Nothobranchius furzeri: one gene and its partners. The protein of the gene in region 3 interacts with the protein of the main gene of each other region in a pairwise test. Links are inferred from orthologs where the notes say so. Each region holds a gene or a part of one and is shown on either strand. Other genes may lie near its edges.

Region 1 (3,757 bases), on a different chromosome or scaffold from region 3:
CCTAGTTTAAATTGATGAAGTGTCTTGTTGTTTGAAAAACATTCCTTCGTTGATGGAACAGAATTAAAGTTACAGATGGAACTTAATGACGTGCTCCGATCACAAAACAATGCACTAGATTAACTATTAACTAATCTTTTACTTGCTCACATTTTCTAAACACTTCAAAAATATGTTGGCCAATGTTTCAGATCAATATGTCATGCAGGGCAAACAGCAATGACCTCATTTAATCCACCCACCTGTCAACATATTTTATTAATTTAGTTAAACATCTAATCTTAGCTTGAGATGTTATTTTTAAGAAAAATGTTTTAAATATCAAAACTTTTCATCAACATTTCATTCAACAGACTGTTAAAATGATATGAAAAAGGCAAAAATATTTTGATGCTTCTGAATGACCAGTTTATTTCTGTTTTAAAGTGATTCTTTTTTTTCCAAAACACACACACACACACACAGTGGAGTACATTTGTTTTTTTTTTAATAATAAATGACTGCAAAGTAACATACAAGAGGCCACAAGTATAGCATTTTTTTACACACAAACCTTTCCTGGGTACAATTTTTTTATTTACTTATTTTCCCCCTTTCATTTTTGTCCTATTTGTCATATTTATTTGATCATCTGTAAGTCTGAAAGCTATTTTTCAGATGGGCAGTTTGTGTAATTTCAAGAGGCGTCTCTTTATGGGGGGAGGCTGGGGTTAAACAAAGGCCACACCAAACCATCAATTTTCTCATGCATTTTCTCCATGCAGGGTCACGGGGGGCTGGTGCCTATCTCCAGCAGTCAACGGGCAAACAAGTGGGGTACATGGACAGATTGCCAGTCCATCGCAGGGCAACACAGAGACACACAGGACAAACAACCATGCACACACACACATCTAAGGATAATTTAGACAGACCAATTAACGTGACAGTCATGTTTTTGGACTGTGGGAGGAAGCTGGAGAACCTACACACACACACAGGAAAAACATGCAAACTCCATGCAGAAAGATCCCAGGCTGGGATGAGATCTCAAGACCTTCCTGCTGCAAGGCAACAGCGCTAACCACTGCTCCACCAAACCAATAACTTTTAATTAACGCAAAAATAAATAATTTTTTATTATTATTTGTCAAACACATAAACTCACAATAGGAGTTTTTTTAGGCCATTAAACAACTTAACACGTTTTTTCTGCTTGCATGTATATAAGACTACAATTCCCGCTGGCAATAGCGCGAACGGTGACCACTTCCGCGACTGCGCACTGCAGCTACAGCTCAGGGACAGATTGTGCAACTTCCTGGCTGTTGTTCGACTCTCCTAAGAAAAATAAACGCTTCAAACACGTTTAAAAGCGTTCAGATTTTAAACTCGTTGTTGGATAACATGTTTATTTAGAATGTCATCCACTGTGAGGCTTATTGTAGCAAGTTTAAGAGGCTAAATATTAGCCACGTGATCTAGCTACATTTGCACTGTCACTGCTGATATGTCGAGAGTTTTATGGTCAGAAAACAAACATATCATTTGTCTGTTTATGTGACGCTGGATAACATATAAACACGTCTGTGTATTTTTTTTAGCTCCGTTTCGCAGTTAAGGAAGTGTTCGGAGTTTCTCGTTGCGGCCGTGCTCGCTCCTTTACGGTAGTAGTGGTACTGATGCGGGATGAGTCAGGCTATATGATGCTGCTCCTCCCGCTGCCATTTCATCAGCAGCCAAAAGCTACAAACACTCAGCAAACACAGAAGTGATACGGTGGGATTCCCCCTCCTTTCTCCACGTCCGACGGGTCCAGGCAGAAACAGCTGCCGAAAAGAAGAACAACGGACTCGGGAAGCACGTGAGAGTGAAATCCGGTGTGTTTTTAAAGCTGCACCTGCTCTGAATGCGTTTTTTCTTCAGCGGGCCTGGCACTGGGACACAATTAGCCCTTGACTCCGGGGCCCTGCTTTGGCTACATCTGTTTTGTGTTCGAGTTTCAGGTTAAACATCGAGTGTTTTGCTTTTATCGTTTATTTTTTGACGCCGTGATCTCGCTGCACCCCGAGCATCGATCCAGCCAGACTAGTCGGAGCCATGGAGCCGGCCTCATCCAGGTCCTGATCGGCGTAAAGAAGAGCAACAACCAGGGCCTAAAGCGAAGTCCTCTCTTGCTTTAAACAGGCTCCGTCTCCTCACAATCAGGTCTGTCTTCTAATACTAACCTTTCAATCGGTTCAGCAGCACACGAGTTAACTTTGTCAACCATTTTCAAAGATTAAATTACCGTACTTGGACTAGTTAATGAAAAAGTGTTTTAACTGATAGTTAATCATCAACAGGACCGTGGATTTTGGGAAATGTTGCTGTTAAAATCACCTTTGATTCACTAAACGCACGATCATCTAAAAACAAACAAACATTGTTTACTCAAATATGTGGCAAGCCGTTATAGGACATAATTATACCACACTTCTATTTTAAAAATGATAGACTTCTTAATAATTAGAATAATAATTATAATTCATGTAAAATTACTTTCCAGCATGTAAACATTAATCCTCAGTTAGTACGTCAATATGTTTTTTAAACTCTGATATGTCACTATTATTATTATTTTTTGTTCAACGTTAAACCATAAGCACATAGTATTAGTTGGTGAAGCGTCTTGTCCTGGTTCCATTGATCAAAAATGTGTAAAAATACACTGCTTACTTGTACTGCCATATTGTATTTGTAGACCCGGCACACACTCAGAACAGCCGACCTACTGACACTCACTCCCCAAAACCACAGCGCTTTTAAAGCGTCACATCACGACTAACTGTGTTGAAAAAATTCATATTAAAAATCTGGTAGCACGTTTTCCCGCATTCCTCCATAAATATTAACCGTGATTTTGTAGAGTTTTGTAATGACAATGTTGCCCATCATTAATTAAATCCTGATGTTAAGCGGTACATAATGTAATAGACACGTTTTATTTCCACGCTCCCTTGCCACAGGTAGCAATTAAGATGCAAAATGGCTGCAAAAGCGTTCCACACATCTGGTTTTGCGAGGTCACAAAATCACCAGATAATTCTGCAGTTCAGGTGGTTAAGTTAAAGTCCCATTAGTCATCATCACACACTGGTGAAATTACATCTCTGCTTTTGACCCATCCCCGTGGGGAGCGGTGAGCTGCAGCTGTGGCTAGGGCTGCTCGATTATGGCAAAAATAATAATCACGATTATGGTGACTGAAATTGAGATCTCGATTATTTAGGACGATTTTTCAATTTATGTTGATTTTATTTGTTTTTATTCAGTCATAAAATTGCTCAGGGCACAATCAGGACAAAAATAAATAAGAAACAAGATGATCACTAAAATAACTCCTGATTCCCAGTAAAAAAAGACCAATATACTTGTAGCTCATAGTCTATGACCCAAGGGCTATAGACCTTGGTTTAACTCATTCAAGTCTAACCAGTACAGACCCAAATACCAATATCTTGCAAATACTGACAGCAAGAATTATACAGTGGCATTTATAACAAATAAATGCAAAAAAATTGATGTTCACAAAATGTTGCATAACATTTATTGAGTCGTGTCAATGTGCTGTAGGAGAGTACACTAGCACCGTGTCCTCAGAGAGATTAGTTATTTATCAGCGTGAGGAAGTTATTTCTACCTTATTTATAAACTATTTATTTACAAGTCGTCCATCAGTTAATGTAATAATTGTCCCAACCACAGCTGCACCCCCCACCCGGTCTCACAGCAATTG
Region 2 (3,657 bases), about 65 Mb from region 3:
AACGCCGTTAGTAACGCCGTTATATTTAAACGGCGTTACTCCCAACACTGAGCAGGAATTACAGAGAGGTCTGATTACTGATTAAATGTTAAAACGGCTTGCCCCATTAGGCACGCTCTCCCTTCGTGTCCAGCTTTCACTCCTCTCCTCACCTTTCGGATGTCGTTTACTTTTCTTTTGCCCTCTTTTACAGAGTCGTCCCCAACAACAATCACAGGTCCGGCCATGTTTGTTATGTCCAAGGCATGTTTCACACACCACCCCTCCATCCTTCCACAGCGATCGGAGGTGTGTGTGCGGCGCGGTGCCGTTAAGACTGGAGGCGCGGGATCATTTTCACCGTTCGTATCGTCGTCGTATTTTACAGTGGAGACAAAATGCTCCCATACACGTGATCTAAAGGACGCAGGTGGTTTTTCAAGCTCCTCTCCTCCGTCATGGCCACCGGTGTGCGTCTCTCCGTTGGACTCAGCAGGCAGCCCACCGTCCTCCACGTGGCCGACCCGCAAACCGTGTGCGTGCCGAACCGCAGAAAGATCCATCAGTGATGATCTGTTGCACCCCTAAAACCGGGTCTGACCCATCTAACGTGTGAGTGAGGGAACATGAGCGTGTGTGTGTGTGTGTGTGTGTGTGTGTGTGTGTGTGTGTGTGTGTGTGTGTGTGTGTGTACATCTCACCATCCTGCTGCTTGACGAGTCCTTGGTGGATGTAACGGATGTAAGTGAAGAAGTTGCACACGGCTGTGATCTAAAGATAAAAGAATCAAAAACCTGCATCAGTTTGTCTAAAACTCCTGTTAGACGATGACATCATCACCCTTCTAGCCAATCAGAGCTGACTAAGTTCTAAACTGGAATAGAAACGCCGAGCTTTTATCCCGTAGTCAGTAAACGTCTCGACACGAGCAGACATCGGTTGAACTATTTTGCGTTTCTTTTTTAGCTCCATCTCCCCGACCGATGGTGTGAACATCTGGACTCGTCGTCCAGATGTTTGCGAGACCCACTCACTCTGTATCTGCAGAACGGAGACACGTAGTAATAGCTGGACGAGTCTCCAAACTTGATTCTGTGCTTACAGGTTTTGGTCTGACCGCTCAGGGCACATTTTCTGTCAACGAGACAAAAGTTTAGTTCCAACAGCGGAGGGAGAGGAGTAAAGGAGGTGAGGATGGTGCTTCCTGAGGAGGAGGAGGAGGAGGAGCTGAAGGGGAGTTAGGAAAAGCCAGGCAGGTCGAGGATTATTGAACGTCGGACTTACGTGACGAGCTCGGCTCTTCGTCCACTAAAGGAGGAAATTAAAGGGAAGATGGAAACGTGATGATGGAGGGAAGAGAGAGAGAGAGAGAGAGAGAGAGAGTGTGTAGGTTCTAACTTTGGTCCTCCACACTCCACCGCCGACGCTTTGACCACGGGCAGCGGCTGGAAACCCACCGGCTCCACGCTGAGCGTGTTCTGCTCCACGGCCTCCAGGATGGCCGAGCCCAGCTGAGGAAGAGGAAGAGAAAGAAGACTCAGACTAAAGTCCCCGGGTCCCGAGGCAGTGTCTACAGTAACTGGAAAGCGCTGGGACCAATCAGAGCCGCACGTCGCCATGGAAACCAGTCAACAGGGCAGTCTGCCGTACACCGTTCAAGAAGAAGAAATACATCCTGTTTCTAAGTAAAGGACTTAAGTACGTCTATCTGCTGGTCTCAGGGTTGTTCTGATCTGGGCGGGAAGCCCGATGAGGACGTTCCGTACCTCGCTCTTGTTGAAGGCGAGGCAGGGGTAGATGTCTTCACGGTAAACTCTGTCCAGGAAGCTGCAGCTCCGCTCCAGCGTCGGCTCCTCCTTCCACACTTTGAACTCACTGAACAGCTGACTGTCCACCTGCGACAGTAAACACCAGAGATTAGTCCGCACCGAGCCGTCTGCCTGAGGAGGACTGCCGGAGACACGCCCACCTCCCGACACTCCCGGACGATGGGCTGCGTGGCCGACGGGTCGGGCTGTGTCCCCAGAATGGCGGAGGATGTGCTCTTGTTCCGGCTGTGGCCCTTTTTAAAGGGAGTTTTAACTCCTCCCCCCACTGCAGAGGGGAGGTCAGCCACGGGGGAGGTGGGGGAGGACAGCACCAGTGTCTTCAGGGCCTGGACCTCAGCCTGGAGGACGTCAATCTGATGACAGGAGATCACCAACAGTATCAGACCTAATACAGTAACAAGTGGTTTGCCTTCATGTCACAAATGCACCGATACTGGTTTTGAGACCGATTTCTGATTTGTCCCAAAGAGCCAGGATCAACAGAATTCTTGTTTTAAACGTCTGATTCCGGAAGGAAAAACGTCCACGGCACGATTTAGGGGCGAGGGTTCGGAGACGAGGACTCCAAAACCCGGGTGCATTTGAACAAAAACCTGATATTTCAGGTCTTTTGAGCCGATTCTCATCACAGGTTTTTGGGTTCATCTCTTTTTATTTTGGCTGTCAAGTTTATTAACCTGAAAGGTTTCAGTTTATTTTTAGCAGATTAAGCTTTATTCTGATCCAGGAAGGAAAGTTTAACATGCTGCAAAAACTACGTTCAAATACACGAGACTCGTAGATTTTACAGATGGACATCAGCTGTAGAAACACGAGCGGATCGATACAAACGCTGCAGAAAGACGACGGCAACGCTTCTGAGACTCAGACAAGAAAAGTAAACATCTGTGATTTCTTCTAATTTAGGTCAACAAACGTTTTTTTGTCAACGCTAAAATGTTGAAATAAACTAAAGTTGGTGCTGATCGGAATCGGCCAGCAGGACCAGCTTAATCAACCTGAAACTCAAACATTATATTATTCATGTTTCTGACATAAACCAGAATCAACAGGTGAGAAATGTTAATTACTGTTATTGGCCTTCAAAGCAAGAATCCATTCATTTTTTAATCAATTAGTACCAAACTGAGGACATTTTGCTGATCCTCACTTTGGGACAATGTTGCAGAGCTCTACTCGTTAGGTCTAGTTTGGGTTACGGGTTAGGGTACAATCCAGTCACTAAAATGAATGGAAGTCAAATACAGTCCTCACAACAGATACTAGATGAGTGTGTGTGTGTGTGTGTGTGTGTGTGTGTGTGTGTGTGTGTGTGTGTGTGTGTGTGTGTGTGTGTGTGTGTGTGTGTGTGTGTGTGTGTGTGTGTGTGTCTTTATGTAAATGATAAATGACCTGTATTTGATATAGCGCCTTCTAGAGTCCTGGAACCCCCCAAGGCGCTTTACAACACAATCGGTCATTCACCCATTCACACACACATTCACACGCTGGTGGGGATGAGCTACAACGTAGCTACAGCTGCTCTGGGGCGCACTGACAGAGGCGAGGCTGCCGAGCACTGACGCCACCGGTCCCTCTGACCACCACCAGCAGGCAACGTGGGTTAAGTGTCTTGCCCAAGGACACAACGACAGCGACAGACTGAGCAGGACTCGAACCTGCAGCCTTCCGATTACTGGGCGAGCTCTTAACTCCTGTGCCACCGTCGCCCCACGTGTGTGCGTGTATGCGTGTATGTAAGTGGGTGTCTGTGTGTACGTGTGTGTGTGACTGCACGAGTGTATGTGCATGTGTGCAGACCTCACAACAGATATTAGATGTGTGTGTGCGTATGTGTGAGTGTGTGTGT
Region 3 (3,757 bases):
TTACCTCAACAAGGCAGCAGCGATCTGAAGAGGGTTCAGGTCCAGCCACCCCAGAAGATAAAGTGAAGGAGGAAGTCAAAGTCTACATGTCTCTGCCATCCATTCTAGCTGATGATGATCCACTGGTGTGGTGGAGGGGCCATGCATCAGAGCTGCCTCATCTTACCAGGCAGGCAAAAAAGCTTTTGTGTATTCCAGCAACTAGTGTTCCATCAGAGGGAATATTCAGTGCCAGCGGGTATATTCTTTCCTCTCTTAGATCACATCTTAAACCAGACAAGGTTAATATGTTGACATTTTTGCATTTCAACCTGAAATAAATGGTCATGCTTGCTGACAGTCATGATGCTGGATGAAGCATCTTATTTGTTGATGATGAAGAGAAATATACAATTACTTCCTAGCCATTGACTTGTTTACTTTTTTTCAATGCCATTTATACTTGAACATTTGGATTTGATTACATAGTGTAGTAGTTATTTTAGTAATTTGTTTAAAGTGGCTATTTATTTTAAACACATATTTTTTTAAGGTTGACTTGTACAGTGCTCACGTCAAGTGTGGACTGGAGTTTTAGGCCTAGTCTACACGTAGCCAGGGTTTTTTAAAAACGAATATCCGCCCCTCCAAAAACTTGCATCCACACCACCACGTTTTAAAAAAAAAAACTCTGTCCACACGTACCCGGATAAATATGTTGTTTAGGACATGCCAGACCTGTAGGCGGCAGTACCTCCCCCGTTCTTAACCTCATCCTTCGTCTGTGGTCTTCCGCAAGGAGCAGTAATTCCGCTTGCAATAACAAACAAGCAAAAAGCACTTGGACAATTGATAAAGCGAGTGCAGCTCTGAAGGCTTCCATGCTGTTGGCTAGTGTAAACACAGGTCGCACACGTGACGTCATCATTTTTTTGTCGTGGAGAGTGACGTTGCAGACCTTAAAACTCCGGTTTTGTCTGTCCACACGCAGACACCCAAAACGGAGAAAACGCAGATCTTCACTTTGGCCGGAGTTTTTATAAAGATCCGTTTTCGTGTGGATGACAGGCCAAAACGTAGAAAAATATCTACGTTTTGGCAGATCCCGGCTACGTGTGGACAGGGCCTTAGATTCTTATTTTGATAATGAAGAAAACAAGCATATGAGAAGACAAGTGGTGTTTCTTTGATTTGTTTACATATTGTTTATGTTTTGAATGTTTGGATTTGTATAATTTAAACCTGCACTGACTACTGTAACATGTTCCAGAAAAATAAGCTATTTGTTCCTTTACTTGTGAAAAGTTGCACTTTTGCTAAGGCTTTGTGTTATTTTAGCTTTAATAAACACTGTTAAACCTTTTCAAAGCTATTTCAGTTTGTGTAGAACAGGACTATCAATGCTTTCTGAACATATGCAACACTGTTTAAAAAATACCGCAATCACACCGAAAACCGTGATAATTTTGGTCACATCAACCATGAGGTTAAATTTTCACACCGTGACAACCCTAATACACTATATATATATATATATATATATATATATATATATATATATATATACATACACACATGTATATATATATATATATATACATACACACATGTATATATATGTGTATATACACATGTATACGTGTATATATACACATATACGTGTATATATAAACATATACATGTGTATATACACGCATCTATGTATATATACACACATCTGTGTGTGTGTATATATATATATATATATATATATATATATATATATATATACGCACACACACACACACAAACACACACACACACACACACACACACACACACACCTATGTATGTGTCATGTTTTTAGACAGCTGACTATAGTGCAAGAGGAAGTAACTGCTCACTGAAACTTAGTTTAGTCGGATCTCATTGTTATTTAAAGAGTCATACCCGTATGGTTTAAAGATGAGTGGTTCAGGTAGTTTTCGGACCCTTTCTTCGATGGAGAACCTGTAGCGGACCCCTGAGATGATTTTCTAGGGGCAGTAGCGTAGCTCATCCCACTGCTAATCGTCTCCGTGGCCTTCCTAGCCAGAGACAAGATAGGAGCTGACCAGCTGCTCTCCTCCGCAGACGGAGTCGTGTTCTCGCCAGAGTTCCCACCGTTGCTGCCGTGAGCCGCCGGACCTGAAACTTCAGCCCCATCTAAGTGTTGGTTTTCTTCGTGGTCCTCAACAGCTGTGTTTATCACCAATATTTCGTCAGCCATGTTTGACTCCGCCTCCCTTTTCGAACATGAACTCGAGTGACCAGTCCTCCTGCCGTACACAGGCTTGTTCGAGATGAGCAGCGCCTCGCCTGCAGGCGCTATTTGCCGGACAGGGCGCAAAATTTCAGAATATTAAAACGTTAATCTAATGTATGCATGTATTGTTTAAGAACAACTAAACGAAACGAATAAACTCTCTCACTCCACTTCCCCAACAAACACACACCGCCTCCTTCAACCTTCTTCCTCTTTTGTCGTTTAATTGGTGGGTGGCAACCAACTCTCAGGTGCATGTCCGCCACCTACTGAATGGGAGTGTGAGTTGAAGTGGGGAGTATCCTACAAAAAAAAAACTAAATTCTATTAAGTATTCCACTTTTCCTTAAAAGTCTGTGACTAACTTATAAACCACTAGTCCCCATTTAACAGAATATTCAAATCATATTTCTTATATCCTTTAACTTTTAATTTTTCAACTAACATTTTCCTATTCCCCACATATTTTCTACAAGTACATAATGCATGTTCTACTGTTTCCCTATCACGTCCACATTCACACATACCGGTATTATGCCGTCCAAGAATAAAAAGCGTACTGTTCAAAGCTGTATGTCCCATTCTCATCCTTGTTATCACTGCTTGATTTCTGTTACTCATTGGAATGACTTCCATTCTTCCAACCTTTCCCTTTAATTTGTATAAATGTCTTCCTTTCACATCCCTTATCCATTGTTCTTGCCATTCATCCAGAATCTGCTGTCTAATAACTGATTTCACCTCTGCAACACTATATAGAACCTCCATCATAGTATCCAGTTTTCTTGCCTGCTTTGCATGATAATCAGCCTTTTCATTACCCTCTACTCCACTGTGGGCTGGAACCCACATAAATCTAACCTCTGAATTAGTCTTCATCAACCTAAACAAGCACTCAAATATCTCATACAAAATATCTGACCTCTTATCAGCTGACATTTCTTTAATTGATAACAATACAGACATGGAGTCCGAGCAAATAATACTATTCCCAACACCATTTTGTTCTATCCACTGGAAACTAAATGAAATGGCTAACATTTCCACTGTATATACTGACAGATTATTAGATGTTCAACTTTTATGATATATACCTAATTTTGGAATCCAGAAAGAAAATCCCGTTATATTTCCTGACTCTCTCGACCCGTCAGTATAAATAGGGATGAATGCTTGATGTGTCATTTAACCTTTCTTCCACAACATCATCCCAGTTTCCCACACCTTTCCGTATTTTAATTTCATTTTGAATATGAAAATCTATTATTACTTTTGGAAATAACCAAAACGGAGTAGGCGAATATAGACATTTCTTAATAACAACTTTATCATTTAATTTAAAGGCTTCCGCCAATTTATACGATTTCCAGACCATACTCTCATACTTGCCATACAAACATTGCCCTCCTACTTTCATCTCTCCCGTAACCATATGCTCATCCTCTTCACTACCTTGAACACTAGCCCAATAATTTAATTTCAGTAACTTAAGAG

The links.
Region 1: the proteins of rufy1 (region 3) and ras-related protein Rab-39B interact in binary tests that used the Homo sapiens proteins (3 or more experiments, as listed by UniProt). The two-hybrid records come from large-scale screens. The link is inferred for Nothobranchius furzeri from reciprocal best matches to the Homo sapiens genes RUFY1 and RAB39B.
Region 2: the proteins of rufy1 (region 3) and rab3ip interact in binary tests that used the Homo sapiens proteins (3 or more experiments, as listed by UniProt). The two-hybrid records come from large-scale screens. The link is inferred for Nothobranchius furzeri from reciprocal best matches to the Homo sapiens genes RUFY1 and RAB3IP.

Annotation. Positions count from the first base shown.
Region 1 is NC_091742.1:80,053,423-80,057,179, forward strand, and holds the start of ras-related protein Rab-39B, read left to right. Parts: upstream 1-1,271; 5' UTR 1,272-1,506; intron 1,507-1,583; 5' UTR 1,584-2,187; intron 2,188-3,757. UniProt on the Homo sapiens protein: The small GTPases Rab are key regulators of intracellular membrane trafficking, from the formation of transport vesicles to their fusion with membranes.
Region 2 is NC_091741.1:38,168,743-38,172,399, reverse strand, and holds part of rab3ip (rab-3A-interacting protein), read right to left. Parts: intron 2,162-3,657; coding exon 1,949-2,161; intron 1,875-1,948; coding exon 1,746-1,874; intron 1,491-1,745; coding exon 1,264-1,490; intron 1,114-1,263; coding exon 1,014-1,113; intron 751-1,013; coding exon 681-750; intron 1-680. UniProt on the Homo sapiens protein: Guanine nucleotide exchange factor (GEF) which may activate RAB8A and RAB8B. Promotes the exchange of GDP to GTP, converting inactive GDP-bound Rab proteins into their active GTP-bound form.
Region 3 is NC_091741.1:103,293,965-103,297,721, reverse strand, and holds the start of rufy1 (RUN and FYVE domain-containing protein 1), read right to left. Parts: upstream 2,459-3,757; 5' UTR 2,228-2,458; coding exon 1,909-2,227; intron 1-1,908. UniProt on the Homo sapiens protein: Activating adapter involved in cargo sorting from early/recycling endosomes. Regulates retrieval of proteins from endosomes to the trans-Golgi network through interaction with the dynein-dynactin complex.